Linked DNA regions of Drosophila melanogaster. Changing the gene in region 1 together with any one later gene gives a genetic interaction. Each region holds a gene or a part of one and is shown in the gene's direction. Other genes may lie near its edges.

Region 1 (5,904 bases):
AGGCCACTCATAAATCAAGCAGCAGGACGGCTACTGAACATAACTGAAATTGGACCTCAGTGGGTCACGAAGCTTTACATATCATTAGGAACTACTTTCTTTATGATGACTACACTACTTTCGCATATGCGGTTGTAAACTTTCGTGCCGAAAATTCCACTATCAGCATGCGAAAATGGATCACATCCAGAGAAAACTTACCACAAAGCATCGTAGCATCCATTCCTGACCCCTTTTAACAAAAATGCCCAAATACACATAAATTGCAAATTTTCACATTGGAAAGACACTTTTCCATTGAGTACACTTTAATAAGAATTTAAATAAATTAAAACCGATCATTATATTCTTAAACATATATAAAAAAACATAAATTAATGCAGATATGGAATCCCAATTGCTGGTCTTGACTAGCACATTTGAAAAGTGTTCGGTAGAACGTAGAGCTTTGCAAATGACTCATTGGTGGGAAATTTGACCAAAGCGATGCAATTACTATTATCTGACAACCGTCTAACGAATAACATAAGTTAAGGATAATAGATTACATTATTTACAAATACCTAGTAGCTAGCCCTTTAATCGTCGAAGAATAGTATTTCTAGGATCCGTTTCTGTGCACTTTTCTTCCGTTCCTTGTTCATTTTCAGCAGTTCCGTGGTGACTAATTCTCCCAGCAAATGCTCAGACAACCGCTGCACACCCGGATGATTGGGCGGCGCCTGGAATTTCCCGAAGTTTGCGGGATGCGAACTGCTGGCCTGATGTGGGAACTGCTGGTATAACTGGAAAAGGAAGTCCGTGTTTGACGGAAACATGTTCTGGTGCTGTTGCTGCTGCTGGTTGTTGTGGCTATTATTGCCGCTGGGATTGTTGCTCCCGCTATTGCTGCTACTGTTATTCCCATTTCCATTGCCCCGCTGCATGGGCATCGAATTGCTGTAGTGATTCTCCTGCTGCATCATAGCCTGCGGCTCCATCAGATCATGGCTGTTCTCATCGGATTCGTCGTCCGAGTCATTGCCAAAGTGACTACCATTGCTGGTCATCTGGTTATGGGCATTGCCATTTAGTTGAATACGGGGTTTCTTCATATGGAAATGGCTCGATGACGAAGAGTCTAGACCATCGCCCTTGGGGTTATAGACATGTGACTGTTGCATCTGCAGAGTGGAACTGTTGCCGATGGAAGCGCCCGTGGCGCTGGAAGAGGAATGTACCACCGGAAGCTGCTGTTCAGATGCCGGCGACTGTTGCTGCGCTTGTTGCTGCTGCTGCTGCTGTTGTTGTTGCGTCTGCTGCTGAGGATGATGGGATCCTGCCCCAATTCCTTGCAGCGGCGACGACAGCGGTGATTTCATCGAGGATGATGTTGAGGTCAGACTGCCAGCGCTGTTCTGGGCCCCGTTCATGCCCACGGAGCCATCCTTGTATTGATCCTGATAACCTTGCGAGGAATCAGCCATTACAGCTGCAACGGCCGCCGCCTGTTGCTGCATTTGTGACTGTGATATGTGCTGGAGCTGCTGTGAGGCCACGGCAGCCGCAAAATCCCTGAACACCTGGTCCGCCTCGATCTTCACCTGGCCATTGACGTTTTCCAGCGCAGATGCAGCAACGTTACTCAGAGCACTCATTGCGTGTTGCTGATCCGGCTGGTGGTAAAGATGACTTTGCCCTGAGCTGCCAAACTGAGACACATTCTTCATGGAGCCATTGGACTTATCAACCTGGTATTCGTTGTAGCCGGAGCTGTTGGCGGACTGTGGAGATGTTAGGAAGTTCGGCACATGGCGGTAGGACTTGCGCGGCTGGATGTGCTGGTCCAAGAACTTCATTTTCTCCAGGTATGGACGCGACAGGTGTTCGTAGACAGGTGGATCGCCCTGCTTCCGCTGCGACACGTAGCGTTCGCGTAGGTACTTCCACCGCTTCTTGCACGTGTCCACTGGAAAGGAGGGCAACATTTATATAGAGGATCTGCCGGAGGAGCGCGTCTTCCTCACCATCCGTGCGCAGCTTCATCGCAATCAGCTGCCAGGCCTCGTCCTTCGTCTCGTACTTGCCACCATTGGCGCCGCCGTTGAGGTAGTACTTCTGCCGGTTGTAGATCACTCCGTGCTGCGCTACCTCGTCAATTAGCTGCTCATCCATCATTTTAGTTTAATTCGTGTTTTCAGCTGCCAATTTGCCTTTGGTGTATGTCAGGCCATTTCCAACACTGTTCATGGGACATCGAAACAGTGTGACCGAAAATGTAGCAGCAGAGTGTCAAATATAATTTGAAGATATTGATATCGAAATATATTCGACAATTTGCATCATGTTTAAATTCGTCAGCATTTTGATTTATATATAGTAATGCATTTAATTAATTAACACGCAATAAAATTAATAATTTCAGCAAAAGTAAATCATTTGCTGTTCCTGAATTTACTAAATAAAAATGTTTAAAAATTTAACTTATAAGTTACCTTCACAAAATTCTCGAAAAATAAAAGTCAGCTATAAAATAGTTGCTATAAACGTATTATGGTTATTTGAAATTTTAAGGTGGGTTCTTTTGCGAACCGAGATTCAGTCACACTGGCAATTTGGTACCCGAAGTTGAATTGCCGTTTTGTGAAGCGGATAGTTACCTGCCGATAATCTTAAATAAAAATGTTTAAACTGGCCCGTATGCTCCTGCCGCAGCAGCGGATCCTGGCCAGCCCGCTGCGCCTGCAACGCCTGATCTCTACCAGCGACGAGGTCAACGCAGAGCCCATCATCAAGTCCATGGACACCATTGGCGGCCTCCCCACCGAACTGGTCAACGAACAGAAGCTGAAGAAGACTAGCAGGTAATCAATCTACCGGTTTTCGCACTTGACCTTTGCCTTGCCTGTTTGTTTTGTTTACATTTCGACCGGTATGGGCATGGGCATGGTATGCATGTATCGGAGGCCTGTTTTGGGCGTGATTTTCGAAAAGGAGTTTCGGGGTCTTTTTTTCTTGATTTCAAGTGGGGGAGAAAGTTTGTATCGAGCCGCTTATGCAGTCACGTAGACCATAGATGCGTGCATGTGTGTGTGTATGTATTTGTGCCTGCCTGGTGGTGTCAGTTATGGGCTCTATTGTTCTTGACTTTTGTTTTGTCCACAGAACCTTATCGACGCTCCAAAATCACTCGGTTCCCATTGCCGCTCGCGTCACGGTGTCGAAAGATGAGAGTCGCGACTTTATGGCCGTGTTCCCAGGTGAGATTTGTTTATTTATGCCCAGTAACAATTATCATGCAAATACTAATGCTAATTATATTTCGATGTGCAGATCTTGTGCGTGACATCACCACCGTGACGAAGGCATACAATTGCAGCGACGCAGCCAAATGGTTCGCCCAAGTCCTCCAGTACAATGTGCCCAGGGGCAAGAAGAACCGCGGCATCCTCACCGTGCTCACGTATAAGAATCTAGTGCCCACCCAGGATCTTACGCCGGAGAACATAAAGCTCGCCCAGTATCTGGGCTGGTGTGTGGAAATGGTAGGAGTTTTATGCATTAAATAGTTTTCCTAATACAAAGTTATCGATCATCTTTTCAGCTCCAAAGTTTTTTCATCATCTCAGACGATGTGATGGACAACAGCACCACCAGACGCGGCCAACCCTGCTGGCACAAGGTGGAGAACGTGGGCCTGACTGCCATTAACGATGCTCTTATGATTGAAAACGCCATGTATGCCATTCTCAAGAAGCACTTCAGCCACTTGGACTGCTATGTCGCCCTAATGGAGCTCTTCCACGAAATCACATACATCACTACCTGCGGACAATCGTTGGACCAACTGAACTCGAACCGCTGTGTCTCGGAATTCACAATGGAAAACTACAAAGCAATTGTCGAAAATAAGACTGCCTATTACTCCTTCTACCTTCCATTCGCACTTGCTTTGCACTTGGCTGGGTAAGTAATGGCCATACATATATAAGATTCCGCTTATTAATCTTCCGCTCTATTGTTTAGCTATAAAGACGCAGAGGCCTTCCGTCAATCGAAGACCATTCTCCTAGAAATGGGCAACTTTTTCCAGGTTCAAGATGATTTCCTCGACTGCTTCGGTAATCCGGAAGTGACTGGTAAAATTGGAACCGACATTCAGGACAACAAGTGCTCGTGGCTGGCAGTGGTGGCAATGCAGCGAGCCAATGTCGAGCAAAAGCAAATCATGGTCGATTGCTATGGCAAAGAAGGTAAAACTAGCTTAGCAAACCCGCACAATTAGACATTGACTTTTGAATATTAACCTGCAGAACCAGCTAAAGTGGAGCGAGTGAAAGAACTGTACAAGGAACTTGGACTGCCATCCACCTATGCCATTTTCGAGGAGGAATCCTACAACATGATTAAAACGCACATACAACAAACCTCACGCGGGGTGCCTCACCAGACCTTCCTGCAAATACTCAACAAAATCTACCAACGTGACTCCTAAATTACTCAAGCGCAACGACTTTACGGATACGTTTTTAATTAAATTGTAGTTTTAGCATTTACATGGATGAACTGTTAGCAAGGGCTCAGCAATTACAACCGATATGAACTTTTTACTATACATACAATGTTCTTTGCTTAATCGTCTGTAAAATCAAAGGGCGCAAAAGCCTTTCGGAAATCTTCCACATACGCCACTTCTTCGTCCTTATCGAGAAGGCAATCCTTCCAGTTCACTTTTTCATCGCAGTTAAGAAGATTCTCCGAACAGAACACGTCCCTGAAAAAATGAGTTTAGTCAAGAGTTGGTAGCTTAAATCGAGAAGTTAACGCACCTTGCGAAATGAATGGGAAAGTGTTTCATTTGCCGCGTTATAAGTGTGCTATCGTCGGGTAACTCGGCCAGGAAATAAGGTCCCATTTCAGGCAGCATTTTCTCAGAATCCAATGCGGGAAGTGTCTCAAATTCCAGATTAAATTCCTCCGCCTTATCCTGCAATGTTGTGGGATATACATCATATGTTATAAAAGGTTGAATGTCGTGAGCATACCTCAAAACTATGTTTTATCTTCCAGGCATAGCCTTCTTCAAAGGCAAGCGCGTTGATTTGTAGGTGAACCGATTTATAGTGCCGTTCAGTAAAACACACCACTTGGCCTAACGTTTTGAAGAACTTTCGCAAAGCTGCCTTGAACTTGTTGAGCTCCTTCCAATCATCTGGACTTAGTTGAGCAGCGCAGGGCACATGCTTGGTGGACAATATCATGACATGGTGTTTGTTAATCGGTCCTTTGGCCAGAGCAAGATAAAAATGTTCGCCCACAGTGATAATGAGATGCTTCTCCACATCAGGTGAGGATAAACAGAACCAGCATTTATCTACAAATATAGGAATAGTATTAAGGATGCAGCTTGTAAAATTAAGTACTAGACAAACCTTGCTCAATCTGCGGTATTCTAGGACGTTTATCTCTTTTGTTATTATCACCGCCTTGTCGCTTGCGTCTGCCACCATCCATGTCGTAGAAGTATTGTCGGTTTTCTGACTGAAAGAATATATAATTAGTCACTTGGAGTACTTATAGATATGTAAAGGTTACCCACCGAATCATTCTTGCCAATAGCTCCGCCTAAGTCCAAGCCAATGAAAGGACACGGAATTTCATTTGTTGTCTTCTGCGCTAGGTCCAATAAGCGTGATTTGTCTACTGGCTTCAGGCTGAGTGCATAGATGTACTTGGCTTTTTCGGCATTTCCCACTTCCGCAAGGGAAATGAAGCGAGTGCACAGTTCAAACTGGGTAGTCTCATCTTTGGGCATCCGAAAGGGTGCGCTTTCGTAGTGTGTTCCATTAATGGCACAAAAGTGATAGCGCGGCTTTATTTCACGACAAAGAAATGATACCAACTTGGATGCTGTGGCCTGAGAAG
Region 2 (6,137 bases), on another chromosome or scaffold:
AATAAATGAATTGAAAAACGTGATTGTTCTCAAAGAATTTAAATAAAAGGAATAGGACTTTTCTTAAATTACTTAAATATCGTATATATGTATTTATAAATTAAGGTCGCTGACTTTAGTCGCAATTCAATAAATTGTATATGCAATTTACTTATAAAGATGCCAAGCTTTTTATTGTCATGCCTAGCATTGGCGGTAATCAAAAATTCCTCTTGATGCTCGGAAATTAGTCACATAAATGGTGTCTCATGCGAGTAAACAATTTCGTTTCTAGCGAAATTTATTACAGATTCAATTGAGAAAATAAAAACAAACGATAAAAGATATGTGAAATGCTTGGCTGGCGTTTTTATTTCTGCGCAGCCAGGCAATCAACCAAAAATATCACACATACGCCGCGTTGTCGCGTGGCGCTCAGTCAGCTGTTCAGCCCACACCGCTTTTCCTATATATATTAATATTTCTGCAGTTGAATGACTTGTGTGGCACACTTTTAAGGAATTCGTTCATGCACTTTTCGAGACTTTCAATTATGATTTCCACAAAGAGAGAGTGAGAAAGAGCGTGGCCAATGTGTACATTATGTAGTCTGCTTAGAGGCGTCAAGAAAGCCAAACTAAACTAGCGTGCAATGAGCCCGTAAAGTCAACTTTCCGACTGCCTCTGACCACTGCACAGTGGGGCGAAACTCGGATTACCAAGCCAAAAAAACCAACAGCGTTGAACTAAAGTCATTCCATAGAGCCAACGTGGCGTATTAGTAATGTTAGGAAATGTTAGCTGTAGTTGAGTTGAAACTATTAGTTAAAATTCGTTCAAGTAAAGTCTATATAAAATTAGGTATGTATAATGCAAGATATATAAATCAATGACCATTTGTTTTAATTGTTTTGATTGGTTAATTTTAGTGTTCATAAAAGCGTCTTTATATCTAAGTTTTGCTAAGTTTTTTATATTAGAGAATTTACGGAAAATGTTTTATATAGTTCCATCAAAGATCAATATACTCTAATGCCATTGGCTTAATTGAGTTTCAGTTGTTTTAGTCAAAGGAAACAAGAACTTTGCCACCTGTGCGCAATATTGATTTGATTTTTCTCACACTCCATTGCAGTTTTCGGCGAGGCCGACAAGGAAGCATCAGCCACAGGATGCAGAGCAGTGCCGGCGGAGCGTCGGGGGGCAGCAACTACGAGGACGTGGCCGCCGCCCGCCGAGGACGCTTCCGTGTCACCTCCTCCACGCCACAGGGCCCGCCCGAAACGACGCTCGGCCGCTTTCGTCTCATGCCCACGTGTAAGTTGATTTGGTACTTTTTCGCCTTTACAATTTGAGTTTATATAAAGTATACGACATTAATCATTACAGTTATGCTAATAGTAATTGATATCTTTTGGTCAAATTCTCGATAATAAATGCATGGTGCTGAATACTGACCCCTTCTTTCGCCTTTGCAGCTAATTATGGCGCCATTTCGCCAATCCTCCAGCGGGGTCGCTTCGCCGTGATTCCCGAAGAGCCCCAAGCCGGTTCCCCCGCATTGGGAACGCCTCCGCCGGGCGGCCGAACAGCGCGTTCTCCATCGCCCGAATGGGACTTCGACATCGAGCAGGTGAGTGTTCCCAGTTCCTCGGCTGGGATTGATTGATCGAGCTAGCAAAAAACCCTGAGCATCGAGGAAACTTATTTTCGAGAGTACTTCAAATGTATTTATTGCGTCCTTGGACCTATTTGGAATGGTCTAAATGAAGTTCGTGAATGGTGGCAAATTCATCGACTCCGATTTCAAGTATTTTGCTGTTTCTGGTGGCGTCATTGTGTGCTCCTCGGTGGCCTCTGTGCAATGCGCCATTTTTATTGATTTTTGTTGGCTTAGCTGAAGTTTCAAAGAGTTTGGGTGGGCTCCGAAAGTGTGAAAGGCATGCCAAGGCAACTGGTTATGATTATTTATGGGGCATAAAATCTAATTTCCAGCACTATGATGGAAATAGGAATATGCTTATGTACATAAGTTTAATTTTTTTTAGCTAAAGCTAGCTAAAGTTTTTTTTATAGCTTTTATAGCTTTTTTTATAAAAGCTAAAGTTTTTTTTATAGCTAAAATGTTTTCTATTTTGTATGTTCGGCGTGATTTACAGAGCGGAGCAATTTTTGCAATTCAAACTTATATCATTTTGGCGCCTAAAGCGGCGGTGCATGACAAAAACTGATTGCTATTGCGAACACGGTCCGATCTGGCAACGCGTTGTTTTTTAAGTGTGACCGCCGCCGGAAAGTAGCAAAGCGCATTTTATTTAAAATAACTTCTACGCAACTAAAGAATTCTCAATGATTCTTGTTTATTGAATAAATAAGTAGATATATGTGCGTATTTACTTACGCGAGTGGGCACTTAAGAATTTACTATTTAAATGCACATATTTCAGTAAAATTGCAAACAACGAGTTATAGAAAAATACTAAAACAACGTTACAGTTGTGGTCACGCTAATTCCAACTGGATTGTAAAAAGATCTCTAGCGATAACGATAGGCGAAGAGTAAGACCTTTTCTGCTGGATTTCGCAAACGATAACGATGACCACAATCGTGAGTTAGGTTGCGAACTTTGCTTGGTGAAAACGCAGCGGATTACGAGGTTGGGAAAAACTTTTAATTCGCGTTAAAAAACGGGAGTGCAGTGAAAAACAAAGCAAATTAAATGTTCTTAAATTCTTACTAATTTATAATAAATAATTTAATTGAGAGAAAATTCCGGCATGGTGTCAGGATAGCATGTCCGCGCCAGTGGGTGGCTTAGCCATAAAATTCTTCTGTGATAAGCTGCGTGAACAGCTTTTAATTGTGCGCGAATGGATTGCAGAAATTGCAGTGACAACAACGGCAACAACGGACAATCGATCTTTGTTCTTTTGAGTGCGCAAGTGAATTGTGAAACTTCTTTCTTGTTACACAAAACAATAGCCTCTAATCACTTTTCCTGCCCATGCATACACACACATGTGTGCATATGTACATCCCTATAAAAAATCAATAATCGGCGATCAGCTGTTACGCATACAAACAAACACATGGCGTCGCTGGAAAGAGCGACAGAAACGTTTTGGAAATTTTCCACGGACAAATACTTTTATTTGCCCAGATTTGCTATTCTTCTGTTTTTGTTCCTTGTGTCAGTTTCTAGCTGTGTTTCGCGCAGTAATGGTTTAGATTCTTAATAAAAAGTGGCAAACACAACAACGTCCTGCTGCTCCTCTTCTTCTTCTCACCCCTTCCATTGTCCGATCACTGCGTGTTCCAATTGGAAAGTCGAGTCCAAAGTGGAAGCGCGCGCCCGAATAAATTTTCATTTTGATTCTTGATTTTTATGGCTCGCATTCTTTGCTTTTATTAAGATCGATTCGGTTGTTGTTGCTGGTGTTTTCGTGTTTTGTGATTTATTTGGTGTTGAACCAAATGGCTGATAATTAGCCGAGTGAAATGAGTGCTGTAATCTAATCTGAAAAGTCAACACCTCGAAAGTGTTTGGACATCCAGCGAAAAGTCGTCATTATAATTTCGCTCTAATCTCTGAATATACACTCATAACATATATATAACATATAATGCGCCAACACAACCAGCTAATTCGTTACGTCTCTTCTTATTTACAATAATTTCTTAGCGCAGCTAAATGCCTAATCGCGAAATTGTTTACAAAAGTTTTGTTTTCCACCCGTTCAGGTGAACGTGAATGTGTGTTAGTGTGTACGTGAATGTGCGGATGTGTGTATGCGTTCCTGTGTCCGTGAAATTAATTTTTTAACCGAAATTCGACAATTGTGATTCTGCAATCTGCCAGCGCGAATCAGAAACATCCAATTACTGATAAAAACACACAAAAGGTGGGTGACAATTTATTTTCTTTTTATAATTATCGAAAACCTGATTTACTTCACTGCCTTTATTTTCTTTTTGTGTTGATATGAGCGCTTGACGTTTGATTTTCCCCGAAACTTTTCATCTGCCTTTTGTGTCGGTGACTAAGTTGAGTGGGTGGGAAATTCCCCCAGTTCGCGGCGACGCTGGGAAAATACCCAAAATCGCCCAAAATTTTTTCATAATTAGATTTTCAGAATGTGTAAACAATTTTATTAAATTTTTTTATATTTAGAAAACATTTAATAAAAGCGATCAATTATGTAATAGATAGTGTATAACAGTATCAATAACAGGAATAACAGTATTAAATCAGGCAATGTAAAATATAATAACATAAAACAATTCAAAGGGTCTTACCTGAATTCTTCATACGACTTTTTTTTGTCGAAACTCATTTGAAGTTATGGTTATAAAATCGTGAGTGGATTTCTTTAAATGTAAAAGTACCCTATCACGATGCCTACTACATTTTAGACATTGACTAATTAAGTAAGCACACTTCAAGCGAATGCCCAGAAATTAAAAAAAGATAGCTACTGAAGTTGGCAATCAGGAAATGTCGAACTTTGATCTGCGGATACAACTACTAGAAGTCGCAGATAGTCAGTCGCACTATATGGTAAAATTGAATGTTCGCACTTACAGCTGCCACGATTTGTGTGCCGCCAATTACCTTAAAACAAAAATTGCACTGCCAATGTAAACAAAACGTATTTGAAACTCGTGTTCGAATGGATATACATATGTATGTATGGATTTATTCCTAATCACATGCACACGATACTCCGGATCAGCAGATCGACCAGTGATCGTCGAGATCCGTGAAATTGGATTTGTTTCTACTTTCCGTCCTTACGAAGTGGCTGCACTGAAATCGAAACTGTTTGTTTATCTTAGCAATTAGTTAGCCATAAATGTGCGAGTAAGCGAATAGAAGGGATAAAGCATAAATAATTAAAACTGTTCGCATTAGCAGATGGCAATAAAATAACTCGGTTTCTGGTCCATTCGATCGAATTCAATATTGTTGTTTAGTTTCCGAAAATATTGGTTTTGTAATTGACTTGACTTTGTTCAATTCAACTCAAGTTCCCCGAGCCCCACCATCTTGTCTTCGCCCTCCAGTTTTCTTCTCGTTTTTCCATTTTGGTTCGCCAGCCCGAGTTGAACGAACCTCTTTCAATATCTTTCAGAAAAAGAACCCAACTTTGCTTTGCTCGAAAATCAATATTATTGTTTAAATATTATTCTACGTATACGACACAGCGAGCAATAAATATTTACTAGATGTGCTCATGTTGCAAATTGTATTGGTTTTTTGGGGTTGAGTATGCAAAATCAGCAGGGAAATGGAGCAGAAATTGTTTTCGAGATTAGGAATTGAATAGGCGTAGAAAAAAATGATATTCTAGGAAACTAAATCTTAAACAAAGACGAAAAGCCTTCCTGTTTTGTTAGATTATGGTTCCAACTTTGTATATTATCAAGAACTGGTAAAAAAAACATACACGCGAATTCTTTAGTGGAATTCTTCCAACAATTTAAAAAATGATTTATTTATTGGATCGAAAGATTTTATGTTTAAAATTAAGAAGCTTTAGGAAATACTTCAAATATTAATTATAATGTATACATATAATTGTAAAGCTTTGAAAATGTAGTGATCACATAAAAAATGGGCCATATTTAACAACTTCAAACGGACAAGGTCACTTGACTCCAAACAGTTTTGTTGAGCACTTCAAAGGCCTGAATTTGTTCATTCAATTGGGCCAGTTTACTGAATATCAAATCGAACTTGGAATCAAAGTGCTGCACCACTGCTTTCAGTTCATCGCGCAGTTTGTCCACCTCGCTGGGATCAGAACTACTTGTTATGGGCGAGGACTCTACGCTGGCGGAGATTTCCGAAGAGGAGGAGGAGTCCACACCCTCTTTTTCGGGCAAGCGATACATGCAGGCTATTCCGTGAAAGTATTCCCCCGGAAAATCGGGATCGTAGTTATCCACGGTATAGGCAATGCCATTGGCACGAATGAGCACATCCATTATGTTTCTCAGGCTGAAGCAGTTCCAGTTATTTCCATGAATATAGAAGTGCGTTAGTTGCGTGAGCGTGGGGAACGCGGATGGATCGATTTCCGTCAAATTATTGCCGGATATGTCAAGTTTCTGCAAATTTTGCATACCCTGCAACGCCTCCAGCGGCAGTTCCATC

The links.
Region 2: of Fpps (region 1) and SNF4Agamma, changing one suppresses a phenotype caused by changing the other (phenotypic suppression), as found in Drosophila melanogaster (one study listed by BioGRID).

The regions. Positions count from the first base shown.
Region 1 is NT_033778.4:11,304,200-11,310,103, reverse strand, and holds Fpps (farnesyl pyrophosphate synthase), read left to right. Parts: upstream 1-2,575; 5' UTR 2,576-2,661; coding exon 2,662-2,843; intron 2,844-3,144; coding exon 3,145-3,239; intron 3,240-3,312; coding exon 3,313-3,524; intron 3,525-3,583; coding exon 3,584-3,945; intron 3,946-4,005; coding exon 4,006-4,232; intron 4,233-4,292; coding exon 4,293-4,474; 3' UTR 4,475-4,593; downstream 4,594-5,904. Other genes in the region: CG7745 (uncharacterized protein), read right to left, coding at 579-1,948, 2,007-2,157; CG7741 (uncharacterized protein), read right to left, coding at 4,612-4,753, 4,809-4,966, 5,025-5,353, 5,412-5,520, 5,579-5,896.
Region 2 is NT_033777.3:21,153,776-21,159,912, forward strand, and holds the start of SNF4Agamma (SNF4/AMP-activated protein kinase gamma subunit), read left to right. Parts: upstream 1-2,586; 5' UTR 2,587-2,636; intron 2,637-3,662; exon of another isoform or gene 3,663-3,721; 5' UTR 3,722-3,882; intron 3,883-5,462; exon of another isoform or gene 5,463-5,614; coding exon of another isoform or gene 5,615-6,137. Other genes in the region: cDIP (common Dpr-interacting protein), read right to left, coding at 5,615-6,137.